Saccharomyces cerevisiae S288C: one gene and its partners. The gene in region 1 interacts genetically with each later gene. Each region holds a gene or a part of one and is shown in the gene's direction. Other genes may lie near its edges. The genes, in order: POM34, ASM4, NUP133 and NUP188.

Region 1 (3,009 bases):
CTAAAAGGGGGTTTGCATACCTCGAAACACTTGCCGTGAACACAACAACTTCGTATAGTTGACTCACCCTGTTCAAGAACTCATCGACGCCTGGCCTCTTAATAACATAGACATTGTGAACTTGATCATCGATTTCGACGGGCAAAACGAAATCAGCTGAATGCATATATTTAAAGGAAGAATGTACCAAAGTTTCGTCTAGATCCAATATCAGACATTTTTTCTGTTGAAATTCTTGCAACTTGGGTGGTAGCAGAGTGTCGTATCCGGGGGCATGGTACTGGTCTGGTTGCAAATGCGTCAGGTCAGAGAAGTCCTCCTCCGTTGTAGGTATCAAGTTTAAATCATTATCAGGACTGCTGGCGACATATTGTGGATTCATATCTTCTTGACCCACCTGATACAGACCCTGTTGTGGTGGCGCCTCGTCATTAATACTGGAATTTCTATCTGCGTCAACGTTATATTCATGAACGACATGGTCTTGCTTTTCTTTTGCTTCGTCATCTTCTTCTTCTTCTTCTCCGGCATTGTTAACCTCCGTCATTTCTACGTCTCCTTCATTATAATCTTCATATTCTTTCTCCTCATCGTACGAGTTGTTGGAGTGATCTCTTGATAAAGGTGCTAGTTTTCCATTGCCGCTATTCCCATTCTCCTGCATTGTCTTGGAACCCGCATTGCTGCCTGAATCGGAACTAGACAAAAGGATCTCCGGTGTGGAATATTGCATCTTGTCGCCGTTTGGAGTAGCCTTCTGCTTACGACCCTGAGTTTGAGCTTTGTTTGAACTGTGCTTACGGTTGCGGTTGCGGTTGTGATTAGTTTCTGGTGGTTGGCGTTGACGATGTGTTTTGGAAGTATCTGAAGAACAGCACAGTATATTTGCTATAAATCCCATCTGATGATGATCTGAAAAAGCTCCCTAAAACAGACAGAGAAGCACTCTTCACTCAGTTTTTATTGCCAAATAAGTGGAAAATTAAAACGAAAGAACTCAAAAGCAGCACTGCGCTCGAAGAAAGATATATCTTAGCTTAAATCCTCTCCAAAAGGGGAGAACGAAGAATATGTGTAAATTAAGCGATGCTTCGTGGGTTTCTTTTACGCGCTGCGAAAAAGATAATCAAATCTCTAAATTTTAGAAATATAAGCCAGTCGGTAGCCCCCACAAGTCAATTATATATGTCAAAGTTCGTGGCACTGTGGACTGCTTTCATAAAGCTTCTCTTTATCTGTTCCTTAGACTGTGAATACTGAGGTTTTCTAAAAAAAAGCAAAAAAAAAAAAAGAGGGTCCAAACCTATTAACTTCAGGGTTTAAGTATCTTTTTTGTAGGTTATAATGTTCTTTTTATAAACCTTTCTCAGGTTATAATAATATTTCTCAGGTCTAATTAGGGCTAAAGTCTAAAGAAAAATGAAAAAAAAAAAAAATGAAATTTGTGCTAATAGTAATAATGATAGAAATAATAACAATTAATAAGATGGTTATGATGAACAAAAAGATTTATATTATAAGAACTTGACAATATACAGACTTTTAATATATCCGCAGAGGCAAAAAAATAATAGAGGGAACTATGAAGATTCAGGCGGGCCAATTGGGCCTGGACGATAATGACGTGCCGGGACCATTGCCGGACACAGACAGCAAACCCTCATCACAATCACAAAATGACACACCAATGTTTAAATTGGGCAACTTTGAAAGTCCTGTGCTCAAGGAGCTATCACGGCGAACGGTAAACAAGGAAATGGAGACGCAGAGAATTATGACAAACGTAATTGCGTTTGCGTTCTGGAACCTGCTGGTGAAGTTCATCAAGTTCTTTTGGAACAACACTCATGTTGGGAGACAGTTTTGCAACCGGCTATCCAGAATCCATCTGTACATGTTGACATTTCACACGTTAAAGAAGGCTAACATCATATATCACACCACGTTCAGTTGGTTGAATGCAGAACTTCTTGACTACTTGTTCCACCTATTAATCTCGCTCAATATACTGTTTTCTCTTTGGAAGCTCTTATCCACCGTCAAAGTAAGTGATTTGAATCTCACTGACAGGCAAAAGAAGCTCCTGGGGGTAGACATGCAATCATCTGTCGATACTGGGTTGCAGCCACAACACCCCCACTACGTATCCACTTCTAAGATCAGCCAAATGGCACAGAACAAAACACATATTCCTCAAACAAATCTCAAAAATCATCCAGCATATCTCTTCAAAGGCTTAGAGACGCCTTTGAAAGCAAGACAAAGGGAAATGGCGGAGGAACAGACGAAACTACAATCTCAATCCTTACACACAAAGAATGTATTTGGCACACTGCAGAGGCATAGCGGTATCAGTAGCACATTAGTGAGCGCTAACAATGACAATAACTCGCCGCATACCCCTGTAACTAGGAAGGGCTACATTCCAAGTAGCAAATATGCATATATGATGAACTCACAGTCCCCAAGGGGGAAAATATAAAAACAGCAAAAAAACATTTAATACTTTCCATAGCTATATATGTTTTCTCTCCTATTTATATTTTACATATGATTAGCGGCAACCATTACCAATAGTTTGGAAATAAGTATCTTAGTCTTTCTAAGGTTTCCTTGGACATAGCCTCTGGTTTGGTAGAGATAGATTTCTTGATGGAACCGCGCAGCCCATCGCCAGTATGCATGAACTCTGGGATTTCCTTGGCCATTGAGACGATGATCTTAGAAGCTAAAATATTTGCATTGCGCCCATTATTCGTCAAATTACCAATAACGGTTTCTACGGTAACAGGTTCTGCCTCATCTCTCCATGCGTCGTAATCGGTAGACATACAAATCATCTGGTAAGGCAGCTCACACTCACGCGCCAATTTGGCTTCTGGAATAACACTCATGTTAATAACATGGCCACCAAACATTCTGTACATCTTGGATTCAGCGCGCGTGGAGAATTGTGGGCCTTCCATACACACAACGGTCATATCCTTGTCGTAATGCAAATGGCACGGT
Region 2 (4,051 bases), on another chromosome or scaffold:
AGAGTTATCGTTCTGGCCAAGACCTAAGGTTCTGGAATGGATGTCGGTAGGGAAGAAGCAGGTTGCGCAGGTAACCCTTTTGTCCAGGAGCGCTCTAAAAGCCAAATGGCCACCTAAACACATTCCTGTGGAACCAATTCTCTTACCATCGAATTGGGGTAACTGGAAAAGTAGATCGCAACACAGTTTGTTGTCCTCATCGTATGATTCTAACGGCTTCTTGATCTTGTACTCGTTACCAATATCGGTACCCTGCACGTCATAGGGCAACGCTTCAGGGCCCATAAAGTTGTGGTATATGGCAGGTGCCACCACAACGTAACCTTCAGACGCAATTCTTTGACCAAAACGACGAACCGGACCCGTCACTTGGTAAATTTCACTGTACAGAATCACCCCAGGAAACTTAGCTTGTGGATAGCCTGCAATCTTAGGAGAATATACGTATATACGCAGAGTGGTGCCGTATGATGTCTGCACATCATGAAAGGTCTCAGTAATCAACATTGTTTGCTTTATCTACTACCACGAGTTTATTACGGCGTCATTTTCAGTCTGACCCTTCTTTTATATAGTTTCTCCTAGTGAGGTTTTTCCGATAAAATTTCTTCCTGATCTTCACAAAGCATCCAGCAAAGTAGGAAAAAAGCTGAAAACCCGACGAAGGGTACTTGTTGAAAGCCATTGAGGTATTGATGGTTGGTGGTAGTATGCTATCTGAAGATAGGCCACATGATTTAGGTAAAGGAGCTGGCCATCGCTAACTGACTAGTCGTATTCTTCCACATCATGGCAACTTCCTTAATGTATTACCCGAATAACCGCCGAAGCCTCAGGCATTAGAGAAGAAAGAAAAGAACAAAAAGTTATACTACAAAAGGCTCTACACTCCCAGCAGAAAGCTGCCAACTACCGTCAGAATGTCAACTATGTCAACGCCTGCCGCAGAACAACGCAAACTCGTCGAACAGCTGATGGGCAGGGACTTCAGTTTCCGCCACAACAGGTATTCGCATCAAAAAAGAGACCTCGGACTACACGATCCCAAGATCTGCAAGTCATACCTTGTTGGCGAGTGCCCCTACGACCTGTTTCAGGGCACCAAGCAGAGCCTGGGAAAATGCCCGCAGATGCATCTTACCAAGCATAAAATTCAGTACGAGAGAGAGGTCAAGCAGGGCAAAACGTTTCCCGAATTCGAAAGAGAATATCTGGCCATTCTATCTCGGTTTGTTAATGAGTGTAATGGCCAGATATCCGTAGCACTACAAAATCTAAAACACACCGCTGAGGAACGAATGAAGATTCAGCAGGTTACCGAAGAACTAGATGTCTTGGACGTGCGGATAGGCCTAATGGGACAAGAGATTGATTCTTTAATTCGTGCAGATGAAGTCAGTATGGGTATGCTACAGTCAGTCAAATTACAAGAACTGATTAGTAAAAGGAAAGAAGTTGCAAAACGTGTACGAAACATTACAGAAAACGTGGGCCAGAGCGCCCAGCAAAAGTTACAGGTTTGCGAGGTGTGTGGGGCATACCTATCGCGTTTAGATACAGACAGAAGGCTTGCTGACCACTTCTTGGGGAAGATTCATCTGGGATATGTCAAGATGAGAGAGGATTATGATCGGCTAATGAAGAATAACCGGACAACTAACGCCAGCAAGACAGCTACTACACTACCCGGAAGACGCTTTGTGTAGGGCCATACATAAAAAAATGATGCTAGAAAAATTTTGTTCGAAGGAGAGTACTTATGAAAGAAGAAAGGTTTGTGAATATCACACACATACCTCTGCATAGTTTATTTCCCGATAAGGTAGACATATCGTTTCCCTATCTATTTAAGTTTTTTATTCGCTCTCTTTTTTTTTTTTTCTCTGTAACCTGAAAACAAGGAACGGCAAATTAAAATGTTTGGAATACGTTCAGGCAATAATAACGGTGGATTTACTAACCTCACGTCGCAAGCACCACAGACAACCCAGATGTTTCAATCGCAATCACAGTTGCAGCCACAACCGCAACCGCAACCACAACAACAGCAGCAACACTTGCAATTCAATGGATCATCCGATGCAAGTTCTTTACGATTTGGAAACTCACTTTCCAATACTGTAAACGCCAATAACTATAGTAGTAATATCGGTAACAATAGCATCAACAACAACAACATTAAAAACGGCACAAATAACATAAGCCAACATGGCCAAGGGAATAATCCTAGCTGGGTGAATAATCCTAAAAAGAGATTCACTCCTCATACGGTGATAAGAAGGAAGACAACAAAGCAAAATTCTTCTTCTGACATCAACCAGAATGATGATTCATCTTCTATGAACGCTACTATGAGAAATTTCAGTAAGCAAAATCAAGATTCCAAGCATAATGAAAGAAATAAGTCTGCGGCAAATAATGACATCAATTCTCTGTTGTCAAATTTTAACGATATTCCACCCTCCGTTACTTTACAGGATTGGCAACGCGAGGATGAATTCGGTTCTATTCCATCATTAACAACTCAGTTTGTTACCGACAAATACACGGCGAAGAAAACAAATAGGTCAGCTTATGATTCCAAAAATACTCCAAATGTTTTTGATAAAGACTCTTATGTTAGAATAGCAAACATTGAACAGAACCATTTAGATAATAATTACAACACCGCCGAAACAAACAATAAAGTCCATGAAACATCTTCCAAGTCTTCTAGTTTGAGCGCAATTATCGTATTTGGCTATCCTGAATCAATTTCCAATGAATTGATTGAACACTTCTCCCATTTCGGTCATATTATGGAAGACTTTCAAGTATTGCGATTGGGTCGCGGGATTAACCCCAACACCTTCAGAATATTCCATAATCATGATACAGGCTGTGATGAAAACGATTCTACTGTTAATAAATCTATTACTTTAAAAGGCAGAAATAATGAGTCGAATAACAAAAAATATCCAATATTTACTGGTGAAAGTTGGGTCAAACTCACTTATAATTCTCCATCTTCTGCTTTGAGAGCACTGCAGGAAAATGGAACCATATTTCGCGGTTCTTTGATTGGTTGCATCCCATATTCAAAAAATGCGGTGGAGCAATTAGCTGGCTGCAAAATTGATAATGTCGACGACATTGGAGAATTCAACGTTTCTATGTATCAAAATTCCTCCACATCGTCGACATCTAATACACCATCCCCACCAAACGTAATAATAACTGATGGCACTCTTCTGAGGGAAGACGATAATACTCCTGCCGGTCATGCTGGTAATCCAACAAATATTTCAAGTCCAATAGTAGCAAATTCTCCGAATAAGCGGCTGGATGTAATAGATGGCAAATTGCCATTCATGCAAAATGCAGGACCGAATTCGAATATTCCTAATCTGTTGCGAAACCTAGAATCGAAAATGCGTCAGCAAGAAGCGAAATACAGAAATAATGAACCTGCTGGTTTTACGCACAAACTGAGTAATTGGTTATTTGGTTGGAATGACCTATAACAGAAATCGTCCAGCTAATTATTCATGAACATTTACAATACTTCATACATTTATTATTTTGATAACTTTTCAAACAGCATTGTTTTACTTTTGTTTATTGATTTTTACGTAACTGTATATACTTAGACATAATTAAGAAACGTTATCTTTTGTGATAGTTCTTCTTTTTCTTTGGAGAGCGAAGAATGGAATTAATATCATTCTTATTCAATACATTGAACTCTGAGCCTTCAAACCTTTTCTGTCGTGCGCTTAAAGGCGTTTTTCTCAATGGGCTCAGGGATTTCGATGGTCTATTTTGGTCTTGATTCGGCAGGTAAGCTCCGCCCTTCTCTAAATTTTCATTTGACGATGATTGAGCCAAATTGTTATCCAAAACTTTATCCCTATAATATGGGGACATTCTAGGAGAATAATGAAAACCAATGGGATGACTTTGATGGTCAGATACTTGAGAAATGCCTCCATAATCCTTTATTCTGGTTTCACGGGATCCTGGCACACTTTCTGTCATTTTCGGTAATGCCTCAAATTCCCTTTTTTCATAA
Region 3 (5,892 bases), on another chromosome or scaffold:
GTAGACCACTGGCGGCGCTATTAGCCAATGACGGTGCCACAGTATACTCTGTGGACGTTAACAACATTCAAAAATTCACCCGTGGTGAAAGTTTGAAATTAAACAAGCATCATGTGGAAGACCTTGGGGAGTACTCTGAAGATCTGTTGAAAAAGTGTTCTCTTGATTCAGATGTGGTCATCACTGGTGTCCCTAGTGAAAATTACAAATTCCCCACCGAATACATCAAAGAAGGTGCCGTCTGCATCAATTTTGCATGCACCAAAAATTTTAGCGATGATGTCAAGGAAAAAGCTTCTCTTTACGTTCCAATGACTGGTAAAGTTACCATTGCAATGTTGTTGAGAAACATGTTACGTTTAGTAAGGAACGTAGAACTGTCTAAAGAAAAATAGAACATTTGTGGCTGTTCAAATAAGCATAGGTAAAACAGAATACATAAAAATAAGGGAAAAAAAGAAAGATCATTTGTAATGTACTTACTACATACATATAGAATTCTCCTCTCTTAGATTATCATATAATATACAAAGTTTATGGGTCTTATTTCTTCTGTCTTTTAGCAGAGGGCTCAATATCAGTGGCACTGACGAACTCTTCTTCGTATTCTTGTCCATCATCCGAATACGACGCTTCATCTTCGTAGTCTTCATCTACCTCTCCATCACCTTCTTCAGTTCCTTGGTCGAATTTGGATTTCAAACCCTTCATCTTTCTTGTTTGTAGTTTACCCAAATCTTGTTTGCCCATATGGATTCTACCCAATTTATCACCCATGATATCTAATTCTACATTCTTCTTTGTCTTCATTTCTAATTGTTTTGGCTTCTTGTGAGCTTCAGTGACCATATCTGGACTTGGAGTATGAATTCTGCCGATTTTGAAATCTAGACGTGGCCCAATCTCCACCAATTCAATACGTGGTAATCTCTTACCACCTTGGTCGCTTTTATAACTTTTTAATTTGTAAACACGGAATAGAACGTTCGGCAATGGCTCACCATCTTGGAAGTCACCTTGAATGGTCATGGAAATGACATGTTGTAATCCCGCAACATCCTGTAAATCAGTAGATTCGCCTCTAAAGAAATCTAAAAACAAAGATTTAATTTGCTTGTATACGGGATGTGTATCAAATGCAGCACCTTGGAATGTAAACATAGGCTTCAACCCTACAGTAAATGTTAATTTCTTAAAATCAGATAACAACTTGAAATTATCTGCAACCATTAGTTCAATCATATCATATATTTTGTAGCCAAATGTACGTATAAAGGTCATGTTGTTTTTACGCTTTTTGGAACTTGTCATCAGCACCATCAATGAACAGTCATTCTTTTCACTAAAGAACTCTAGTGGCGACATGTCTTCGAAAGGATGAATATCATTCTTACGATTGAACCTCTTCATATCTGGCTTCTTCAAGGCACTCAAATCTACCATAATATCGTGCAGATTCTTGTTACAGCTTTGCCCTGGAATGAATAGCGCTTGCTTGACATTCTCTACCAACTTAGCTTCCCTCTTTACCAAAGCTCTCTTGGCTCTTGCATTCTTGGGTTTTACGGTTCTAATCATTTTTTCTGCCAGTGTTCTCCTGCGCTTTTGGATATGATAACTTCAATACAACTCATCGATATACCAAATCACTTTCCAATAATGCATTACACTATAAGAAAATTCGATCCTTAGCTCATCGCAAAAAAATGAAAAATTTTCAAATCGTATAAAACGATATATTTGAGGATTTAGGAATCAAAATAGCAGAATAAACCAAAACATACACCATTTAGGAATAAGGTTTAGAGGAGCTCGAGCATACTGTTACATCCAATTCAAGTGAAGTACATTAGGATAGCCATATGAGTGAAAAAAAAGTACATCTTCGTTTGCGGAAGGAACTTAGCGTACCCATTGCGGTGGTTGAAAACGAATCCCTGGCGCAGTTGTCTTATGAAGAGGAAAGCCAGGCCTCTCTAATGGACATTTCCATGGAGCAGCAACAGTTAAGGTTACATTCGCACTTTGATAATTCCAAGGTTTTCACAGAAAATAACAGATACATAGTAAAAACCCTTCAAACAGACTACAGTAGCGGATTCAGTAACGATGACGAATTGAATGGATATATCGATATGCAAATTGGATATGGACTAGTCAATGACCACAAGAAGGTTTACATCTGGAATATTCACTCCACTCAAAAGGATACGCCCTATATAACTGTACCATTTCGTTCTGATGATAATGATGAAATAGCAGTCGCGCCCAGGTGCATACTAACTTTCCCTGCTACAATGGATGAGTCTCCATTAGCACTGAATCCTAATGATCAGGACGAAACCGGAGGGCTTATCATTATCAAAGGTAGCAAAGCGATATATTATGAGGATATCAACTCCATAAATAATTTGAACTTTAAGTTATCTGAAAAATTCTCTCACGAGTTAGAATTACCCATCAACTCTTCGGGCGGAGAGAAGTGTGACCTAATGTTAAACTGCGAACCTGCTGGTATAGTGCTTTCTACAAATATGGGCAGAATATTTTTTATAACCATTAGAAATTCCATGGGTAAACCTCAACTGAAGTTAGGCAAACTATTAAATAAACCTTTCAAATTGGGTATCTGGTCCAAAATTTTCAATACAAACAGTTCAGTTGTCTCATTACGAAATGGACCTATCCTCGGTAAGGGGACAAGGTTAGTATATATTACTACTAACAAAGGAATTTTTCAAACATGGCAGTTGTCTGCCACGAATTCCCATCCAACAAAATTGATTGATGTAAACATTTACGAAGCCATTTTAGAGTCGCTCCAGGATTTGTATCCATTTGCTCATGGTACGTTGAAGATTTGGGACTCTCATCCATTACAAGATGAAAGTTCACAACTTTTCCTGTCATCTATTTACGACAGTTCATGCAATGAAACATATTATATTCTTTCCACGATTATCTTCGATTCTTCTTCTAATAGTTTTACTATTTTTTCCACTTATAGATTGAACACTTTTATGGAGTCAATAACCGACACAAAGTTTAAGCCTAAGATATTTATACCTCAGATGGAGAATGCTAACGATACCAATGAGGTAACTTCCATTTTGGTAATGTTCCCCAATGCTGTTGTCATTACTCAGGTGAACTCAAAATTGGACTCTAGCTATTCAATGAGAAGAAAGTGGGAAGATATTGTTAGCCTTAGAAATGACATTGATATAATTGGTTCTGGTTACGACTCAAAATCTTTGTATGTTTTAACGAAACAAATGGGGGTGCTACAGTTTTTTGTGAAAGAGAATGAGGAAACAAATTCTAAACCGGAAGTTGGGTTTGTCAAATCTCATGTTGATCAAGCTGTTTATTTCTCCAAAATAAATGCAAATCCCATAGATTTCAATTTACCTCCAGAAATTTCACTAGATCAAGAATCTATAGAGCATGATTTAAAATTAACCAGCGAGGAGATTTTTCATTCCAACGGCAAGTACATACCCCCTATGCTAAATACGTTGGGGCAACATCTCTCTGTCCGTAAAGAATTTTTTCAAAATTTCCTGACATTTGTTGCTAAGAACTTCAACTATAAAATATCACCCGAACTGAAATTGGATCTGATCGAAAAATTTGAGATCTTGAATTGCTGTATTAAGTTCAATAGTATCATCAGACAATCTGATGTATTGAACGATATATGGGAGAAGACTTTATCAAACTATAATCTGACACAAAATGAACACTTAACTACTAAAACAGTTGTAATCAACAGTCCCGACGTATTTCCAGTAATCTTTAAACAATTTTTAAACCATGTTGTGTTTGTTTTGTTCCCATCACAAAATCAAAATTTCAAACTAAATGTTACCAATTTAATCAACTTATGCTTTTATGATGGAATTCTTGAAGAAGGTGAAAAAACTATAAGGTATGAACTTTTGGAGTTAGACCCGATGGAGGTTGATACATCCAAGCTACCATGGTTCATAAACTTTGATTACTTAAACTGTATCAATCAATGTTTTTTTGATTTTACATTTGCGTGTGAGGAGGAAGGAAGTCTGGATTCTTATAAAGAGGGCTTGTTAAAGATTGTGAAAATTTTATATTATCAGTTCAACCAATTTAAAATATGGATCAACACGCAACCCGTTAAATCTGTGAACGCCAATGATAATTTTATAAATATCAACAATCTTTATGATGATAACCACCTGGATTGGAACCACGTCCTTTGTAAGGTAAATCTAAAAGAACAGTGTATTCAAATAGCAGAATTTTACAAAGATTTATCTGGATTGGTGCAAACATTACAAACTTTAGATCAAAATGACTCAACAACCGTATCGCTATACGAAACATTCTTCAACGAATTCCCTAAAGAGTTTAGCTTTACATTATTTGAATATTTAATCAAGCATAAAAAATTGAACGACCTCATCTTCAGGTTCCCACAACAACACGATGTTTTAATACAGTTTTTCCAAGAGTCCGCTCCAAAGTACGGTCATGTAGCATGGATCCAACAGATTCTGGATGGGTCGTACGCAGATGCCATGAATACTTTAAAAAACATTACTGTTGATGATTCAAAGAAGGGCGAAAGCTTGAGCGAATGTGAATTGCACTTGAATGTTGCAAAATTAAGCTCGTTGCTAGTTGAAAAGGATAATTTGGACATTAATACTTTGAGAAAGATCCAATATAATTTAGATACAATTGATGCTGAGAAAAATATTTCAAACAAATTGAAAAAGGGCGAAGTTCAGATATGTAAACGCTTCAAGAATGGCTCTATCAGGGAAGTTTTCAACATATTAGTGGAAGAGCTTAAATCAACAACAGTAGTCAATCTATCGGATCTCGTTGAGTTGTATTCTATGCTCGACGATGAAGAGAGCTTATTCATACCGCTAAGGCTTCTTTCTGTTGATGGAAACTTACTGAATTTTGAAGTTAAAAAGTTCTTGAATGCTTTGGTATGGAGAAGAATCGTTCTACTAAATGCTAGTAATGAAGGAGATAAACTGCTTCAGCATATAGTCAAACGTGTTTTTGATGAAGAACTACCCAAAAATAATGATTTCCCCTTGCCCAGTGTGGATCTTTTATGTGACAAATCGTTACTGACGCCAGAATACATAAGCGAAACATATGGCAGGTTTCCTATTGATCAGAATGCCATACGTGAAGAGATATATGAAGAAATATCTCAAGTGGAAACGTTGAACTCAGACAACTCACTCGAGATAAAGTTGCACTCGACTATTGGTTCTGTAGCGAAAGAAAAAAACTATACCATCAACTATGAAACCAACACTGTAGAATACTAATATCTATAATACAATTTTACATATATATAATAAACTTTACTGGGGAATGATAATAATAAATATGTATATGCTATTATCGCAACTGCCTTCTTCCGATTTATATAAGATCCTTTTCTTTCTGTTCATTCGTTACCATCTACCCTAATTCTGACCATTGTTTCCGGCAAGGGTACCAGATCTTCATCCTCATCATTATCTTCATCATTCTTATCATTTTCTTGCGCTTCAAGACCTGTTTCATTTGATTGTTCAGATTCCTTTTTCTTAGAATCTTTCCACGGTCCTATCTCATAATCACCCTCTGCATATTGCAATAATCCCAAACTTGCTTGCGATATATTGTTTATTATAGAATCCCAATTGTTCATCAATTGGGCCACTGAATCCGCATTCATTCCCATTTCTTTGATCTGCTCATTCAACTCTGTTAGCTGAATTTTTAAGCCATCCGTTAAACTGGTTATCTTTTGTAATGACTGAAGTTCTTTTCGCTTTATAGCAATTTGTTCATCTATTGAATCCATAATAACTGTCTGAATTATGAGTTTTTCAAACC
Region 4 (7,101 bases), on another chromosome or scaffold:
ACACCACTGGGAATTACGACCAAACCACCACAAGGCGATATGCTGCATCGCCTAAAGAATGAAGGTAGCGTCTCGTTGTGAAAAAGGTAATTTGTCCTCAGGACATCACCTGGACAAGGCAGTTCTGCCTTGGCAATCTTACTTCTAAGTTTCAGCCCTGTAACCACTCCTGCAGATGAAAGAATGACTCCATATACATGCAGAGACCGGTCCGCAGACTGTGAGAGAATAAACTGATTTAATGGGTCCCATGCAACACCTTGGACGTAGTGACCATGATCCGACTGGCCGCATACCAGCATCCCAGCTCCAACATCGAACAGTCGTATCGAATTGTCCATACATGCCACCACTATGTTCCTGTTATCAGGTGACCACGCTAGATCGTAAATCTCTGCCGCCGCAGTAGCACCGCTACCACCACGCAGCCGTTTCCACACAACCCATTTCTCCTTGTTCTCGTCTGCTTCACTAGTCTCCGCATCCATTCCGAATGGTCTGACCACAGATTCTTGCTGTGTATTTGGATCTTCTTGCTTCCATAGCAGCACTTGGCCGTCATCGCCCGCAGACGCCAGTACGTCACCCTTCGAGTTGAATCGGATTACATTTATGGCCTGTTCGTGATGCGTCAGCGAGCCAAGAAAGTCAAGGCTTTCAATCTTACGCACCCCCCCATTTTGTCCGTTTTCATCTCTGTTCAACTTCCATATCCTAACCTTGTTATCACCACCAGCGGTGAAAAGCTTGTCGTTCGCACTGTTCTTTTGGAATGTGAGCGAGTAAACGGGTTGTGAATCATGCCAGTAGATTTGCAAATGTGAAGCTTCCATTGTCCTGCCCCTTTGCTCTAAGCTTTTCTGCCTCCTTCTTTTAAATTCTGATACGTACTATAACGCTATAATAATAGCCCATCAGTTAGACAGCGAGTTAACTAACGTGTTCGCCGGGCAACCCAAGGAAATAAGGCGTCCTTTTCACATTTTCATATTTTTTCAAATTTTTTTCAATTCTAATTTTCCTTTTTCTCCCCCACCGTCTATAAAAGCTAGTAGTTTTCTACTTTTCACCACAGAAATCTATTCCTTCGATAACAGTCCCTAAATAAAAACACGACAAAAAGGCCCCACGCAAGCATGTGCAGCAACGGACAGGCGTCGTGCGCACAAACTTGCTCAGGGGCCCGAATACTAGCACATATGTCAAATTCCTAATTAACGTTTTTTATATTCATCGTTTCTTAGAGCCGTAATTGTGCTGATATCAATATCAGGGAAGAACATACCATATAGAGGTGTCAAGTACACCGAACGATCGTGGTGCTCCCTCAGCCACGGGCGTGCTTGGACGCTATTCCCACATATATACGCAAACAATCTATGTCTTCTCCCTCCTTGCCAGAAAGCCGGCTCCTGCTTGTAGTTAAGGTATATATGTATATATTCCGGGTAAGAATATTTTGTAATACCAAAAATTTTCTTCTTGAAATGAATACTTTGAGACATCTTTAATATTCGAACAGAAACACAAATAAAGAGATAACCCTTTCCACCGCTAAAAAAAGGACCCCATCAGCCATGGCTACACCTTCATTTGGCAATTCCTCTCCACAATTGACCTTCACTCATGTTGCTAATTTTATGAACGATGCTGCTGCTGATGTATCCGCTGTGGATGCCAAGCAATTGGCCCAAATAAGACAGTTTTTGAAAGCTAACAAGACAAATCTTATCGAGAGTCTGAACACAATAAGGCAGAATGTAACTTCTTCCGGCGATCATAACAAGTTACGCTCTACAATTGCAAACTTATTGCAAATAAACGTCGATAATGATCCATTCTTTGCTCAATCTGAGGACCTTTCTCATGCTGTAGAATTCTTTATGTCTGAGAGATCATCTAGACTTCATATAGTATACTCACTTCTCGTTAACCCTGACATCGACCTCGAGACATATTCATTTATTGACAACGATAGATTCAATGTAGTGGGGAAATTGATTTCTATAATATCATCTGTAATCCAGAACTACGACATTATTACAGCTTCATCTTTAGCACATGATTATAATAACGATCAAGACATGTTCACAATTGTCTCATTGGTGCAGTTAAAAAAATTTTCTGATTTGAAGTTTATCTTGCAGATATTACAAATTTTGAATTTAATGATCCTCAACACAAAAGTACCAGTAGATATCGTCAATCAATGGTTTCTACAGTATCAAAATCAATTTGTTGAATTTTGCAGAAATATAAATTCAACAGACAAGAGTATAGATACCTCGTCACTACAATTGTACAAGTTTCAGAATTTCCAAGACCTCAGTTACCTCTCAGAAACGCTTATTTCCAGGATTTCATCTTTATTTACTATCACAACTATATTGATACTTGGACTGAACACTTCAATCGCGCAATTTGATATTCAGTCACCTTTGTACATGGATACAGAAACTTTCGACACCGTCAATAGCGCTCTAGAGAATGATGTAGCAACCAATATCGTCAACGAGGACCCCATTTTCCATCCAATGATTCATTACTCCTGGTCATTTATACTTTATTATAGGCGAGCATTACAATCGTCGGAATCATTTGATGATTCAGACATAACGAAATTTGCTCTGTTTGCTGAATCACATGATGTTCTTCAAAAATTGAATACTCTCTCAGAAATTCTATCCTTTGATCCTGTTTACACCACAGTAATAACAGTATTTTTGGAGTTTTCTTTAAATTTTATTCCTATAACTGCATCTACTTCCCGGGTTTTCGCCAAGATAATTTCAAAGGCACCAGAGCAGTTCATTGAGAATTTCTTAACTAATGACACTTTTGAGAAAAAATTGAGCATCATAAAGGCTAAATTGCCCCTATTGAACGAATCACTGATCCCGCTAATTAATTTAGCCTTAATTGATACCGAGTTTGCCAATTTTGAATTAAAAGATATATGTTCATTTGCTGTTACCAAAAGTAGTTTGAACGATTTGGATTATGACTTAATTGCTGATACAATAACAAACTCTTCTTCATCCTCCGATATTATAGTGCCTGATTTGATAGAGTTGAAGTCTGATTTACTAGTGGCGCCACCCTTAGAAAACGAAAACTCTAATTGTCTCTTGTCAATACCAAAATCAACAAAGGGAAAAATTCTTACTATCAAACAACAACAACAACAACAACAACAACAGAATGGACAACAGCCGCCAACTACTTCCAATTTGATTATTTTCCTTTACAAATTCAATGGTTGGTCTTTGGTGGGTAGAATATTGCAAAATCTATTACATTCATATATGGAAAAGGGTACACAACTGGATGACTTACAACATGAATTGATGATATCCATAATAAAGTTAGTCACTAACGTTGTCGATCCGAAAACCTCGATCGAGAAATCTAGTGAAATTCTGTCATATTTATCAAATTCTCTGGATACTTCAGCCAGCACCATAAATGGAGCGTCGATTATCCAAGTAATTTTCGAGATTTTTGAAATATCACTACAAAGAAAAGATTATACCTCAATTGTACAATGTTGTGAATTTATGACTATGCTGACACCGAATTACCTTCATCTTGTTTCTTCTTACTTGAACAAATCGGATTTGTTAGACAAATATGGTAAGACTGGTCTTTCCAATATGATACTCGGTTCGGTTGAATTATCTACGGGGGATTACACATTCACTATCCAATTGCTTAAGCTAACAAAAGTCTTTATTCGAGAATCTCTCTCATTGAAAAATATCCATATTTCCAAGAGAAGTAAAATTGATATTATTAATAAGTTGATTCTACATGCAATTCATATCTTTGAGAGTTATTACAACTGGAAGTACAACAACTTCTTACAAAAATTCGAAATTGCCTTCCATTTGACATTAATTTTTTATGATGTACTTCATGACGTTTTCACCATAAATCCACATCAAAAGGATCAGTTAATCATTTCCTCGTCAGCAAACAAATTGTTGCAGTTATTTTTGACTCCCATGGATTCCATTGATTTGGCTCCAAATACTTTGACGAATATTCTGATTTCACCATTGAATACCACAACAAAAATTTTAGGCGACAAAATTTTGGGTAATTTATATAGCAAGGTAATGAATAACTCCTTCAAGCTGTGCACGCTTTTGATCGCTATTCGAGGTAGCAATCGTGATTTAAAGCCAAGCAACCTGGAAAAATTGCTTTTCATAAATTCATCAAAATTGGTTGACGTTTATACCCTACCAAGTTATGTTCATTTCAAAGTGCAGATCATAGAGTTGTTAAGCTATTTAGTAGAGGCTCCTTGGAATGACGACTATCCATTTCTGTTATCTTTCCTTGGTGAAGCAAAGTCAATGGCATTTTTGAAAGAAGTCCTGTCGGACCTGAGCTCTCCAGTGCAAGATTGGAACCTTCTCCGAAGTTTGTACATTTTTTTTACTACCCTATTAGAAAGTAAACAAGATGGGTTATCTATCCTCTTCTTAACAGGTCAATTTGCCTCCAATAAAAAAATTAATGACGAATCCTCCATAGACAAAAAGAGTTCTATATTAACTGTTTTGCAAAAGAATTCTTTACTATTAGATTCAACGCCTGAAGAAGTAAGTTGCAAGTTATTAGAAACGATAACATATGTTTTAAACACTTGGACAAATTCTAAAATATTCATAAAAGATCCTAAATTTGTGAATTCCTTATTGGCTAAGTTGAAGGACTCAAAAAAATTATTTCAGAAAAAGGAAAATTTGACTCGTGACGAAACTGTTTCTTTGATTAAGAAATACAAATTGATCTCAAGGATTGTAGAAATATTTGCGTTGTGTATTTACAACTCCACTGATTCAAACTCGGAAATTTTAAATTTTTTGAATCAGGAAGACTTGTTTGAATTAGTTCATCATTTCTTCCAAATTGATGGGTTCAATAAAACTTTTCATGATGAATTAAACTTAAAATTTAAAGAGAAATGGCCCAGTTTAGAGCTTCAGTCGTTCCAAAAAATTCCATTATCCAGAATAAACGAAAATGAGAATTTCGGTTATGATATTCCGTTATTAGATATAGTTTTAAAAGCTGACCGTAGTTGGAACGAACCAAGTAAGAGTCAGACAAATTTTAAGGAGGAAATAACAGACGCTTCATTAAATTTGCAGTATGTCAATTACGAAATATCTACCGCAAAAGCATGGGGCGCACTAATCACCACGTTTGTGAAGAGGAGCACTGTTCCGTTAAATGATGGTTTTGTCGACTTGGTAGAGCATTTCCTCAAGTTAAATATTGATTTTGGTTCAGATAAACAAATGTTTACCCAAATATATCTGGAAAGAATTGAGTTGTCGTTTTACATTTTATATTCGTTCAAGTTGTCGGGAAAATTGTTGAAGGAAGAAAAGATAATTGAATTGATGAACAAGATTTTTACAATTTTCAAATCTGGTGAGATTGACTTTATTAAAAATATTGGTAAGTCACTAAAAAATAACTTTTATAGACCTCTTTTGAGATCTGTCTTAGTTCTTCTCGAGTTAGTCTCGTCAGGAGATCGTTTTATCGAATTAATATCTGATCAACTACTGGAATTTTTTGAATTAGTGTTTAGTAAGGGTGTTTATTTGATACTGTCTGAGATATTATGTCAGATCAATAAATGCTCCACGAGGGGTTTAAGCACCGATCACACCACCCAAATTGTCAACTTGGAGGATAATACTCAGGATTTATTGTTATTATTATCACTCTTCAAGAAGATCACCAATGTGAATCCCTCTAAAAACTTCAATGTTATTCTAGCATCATCCCTAAACGAAGTAGGAACTTTGAAAGTTATACTGAACCTATATTCAAGCGCGCATTTGATAAGGATTAACGATGAACCAATTCTTGGGCAAATTACTCTGACCTTTATCTCCGAATTGTGTTCTATTGAGCCAATTGCTGCAAAACTCATCAACAGTGGATTGTATAGCGTTCTATTGGAAAGTCCACTATCTGTTGCAATACAGCAAGGTGATATAAAACCTGAATTTTCGCCTAGATTGCACAACATTTGGAGCAATGGTTTGTTATCCATTGTTCTACTACTATTAAGTCAGTTCGGTATCAAGGTTTTACCTGAGACGTGCCTATTTGTTTCATATTTTGGAAAACAAATAAAATCTACAATATATAACTGGGGTGACAACAAGTTAGCAGTGTCAAGTTCGTTGATAAAGGAAACGAATCAATTGGTTTTATTGCAAAAAATGCTAAACTTGCTAAATTACCAAGAATTGTTTATTCAGCCTAAAAACTCTGATGATCAACAAGAAGCTGTAGAATTGGTTATTGGTCTAGATTCTGAACATGATAAAAAAAGGTTAAGCGCTGCATTAAGCAAGTTTCTAACACATCCAAAATACTTGAATTCAAGAATAATACCTACAACTTTAGAAGAGCAACAGCAGTTGGAGGATGAATCAAGCAGATTGGAGTTCGTCAAGGGTATCAGCAGAGACATTAAAGCATTACAAGATTCACTATTTAAGGACGTTTAACTTATTTTGCAGGTTATGTAAAGCTACATAATATAATAATGAACAGTGCAAGTGCAAGGGTGGCCCTTTGTTGCTATACTGCGGACTGCGACTGTATGAGCTTTTTCCATCCCAGTTCTATCCATTGTGTACTTTTTTTTTTCATCGCCTTACGAACTTCAAAAATATGTAAACAATAAGATAAGTAAATTAACCGAAGACTCTCATGCTTTGAAAGCGCCATAAGTGCGCGTGTTTGTGCCTTCTGATATGATATCGTATGCCTAAGTTTCCACAGTTTCGATTGATTTTAGTTTTGTTTTACTTAATATCAATGATACAATGGTCGGTAATCACTTTTTCGCTGGGGTTCTTTCTTAATGTCTGCATCTTTGCGTACTTCGTATTCTTCAAATCCTTGCCTGATTTACCGAAACCTCAGCCAAGATTTGTTGATATCGTACCGGAAAGTTCGAATACTGTGGATGTTGATAAAGAATTGAAGTCTGTCGAGGGTTTAATACAAGATGGGAACGCGCAAATTGGGAAAGAATTAGAGAGTATTGTTAATTTAATT

Evidence for each region.
Region 2: mutations in POM34 (region 1) and ASM4 together harm fitness more than expected from each alone (negative genetic interaction), as found in Saccharomyces cerevisiae (7 studies listed by BioGRID, with this or other methods).
Region 3: mutations in POM34 (region 1) and NUP133 together harm fitness more than expected from each alone (negative genetic interaction), as found in Saccharomyces cerevisiae (5 studies listed by BioGRID, with this or other methods).
Region 4: mutations in POM34 (region 1) and NUP188 together harm fitness more than expected from each alone (negative genetic interaction), as found in Saccharomyces cerevisiae (7 studies listed by BioGRID, with this or other methods).

Annotation. Positions count from the first base shown.
Region 1 is NC_001144.5:178,180-181,188, reverse strand, and holds POM34 (Pom34p), read left to right. Parts: upstream 1-1,582; coding exon 1,583-2,482; downstream 2,483-3,009. Other genes in the region: PSR2 (putative phosphatase), read right to left, coding at 1-901; MEU1 (S-methyl-5-thioadenosine phosphorylase), read right to left, coding at 2,568-3,009. UniProt on the Saccharomyces cerevisiae protein: Functions as a component of the nuclear pore complex (NPC).
Region 2 is NC_001136.10:297,869-301,919, reverse strand, and holds ASM4 (FG-nucleoporin ASM4), read left to right. Parts: upstream 1-1,916; coding exon 1,917-3,503; downstream 3,504-4,051. Other genes in the region: YDL086W (carboxymethylenebutenolidase), read right to left, coding at 1-507; LUC7 (Luc7p), read left to right, coding at 921-1,706; NUR1 (Nur1p), read right to left, coding at 3,646-4,051. UniProt on the Saccharomyces cerevisiae protein: Functions as a component of the nuclear pore complex (NPC).
Region 3 is NC_001143.9:590,963-596,854, forward strand, and holds NUP133 (Nup133p), read left to right. Parts: upstream 1-1,862; coding exon 1,863-5,336; downstream 5,337-5,892. Other genes in the region: MTD1 (methylenetetrahydrofolate dehydrogenase (NAD(+))), read left to right, coding at 1-395; rRNA-binding ribosome biosynthesis protein RPF2, read right to left, coding at 544-1,578; DAD2 (Dad2p), read right to left, coding at 5,459-5,860. UniProt on the Saccharomyces cerevisiae protein: Functions as a component of the nuclear pore complex (NPC).
Region 4 is NC_001145.3:62,026-69,126, reverse strand, and holds NUP188 (Nup188p), read left to right. Parts: upstream 1-1,577; coding exon 1,578-6,545; downstream 6,546-7,101. Other genes in the region: CAC2 (Cac2p), read right to left, coding at 1-833; MDM1 (Mdm1p), read left to right, coding at 6,805-7,101. UniProt on the Saccharomyces cerevisiae protein: Functions as a component of the nuclear pore complex (NPC).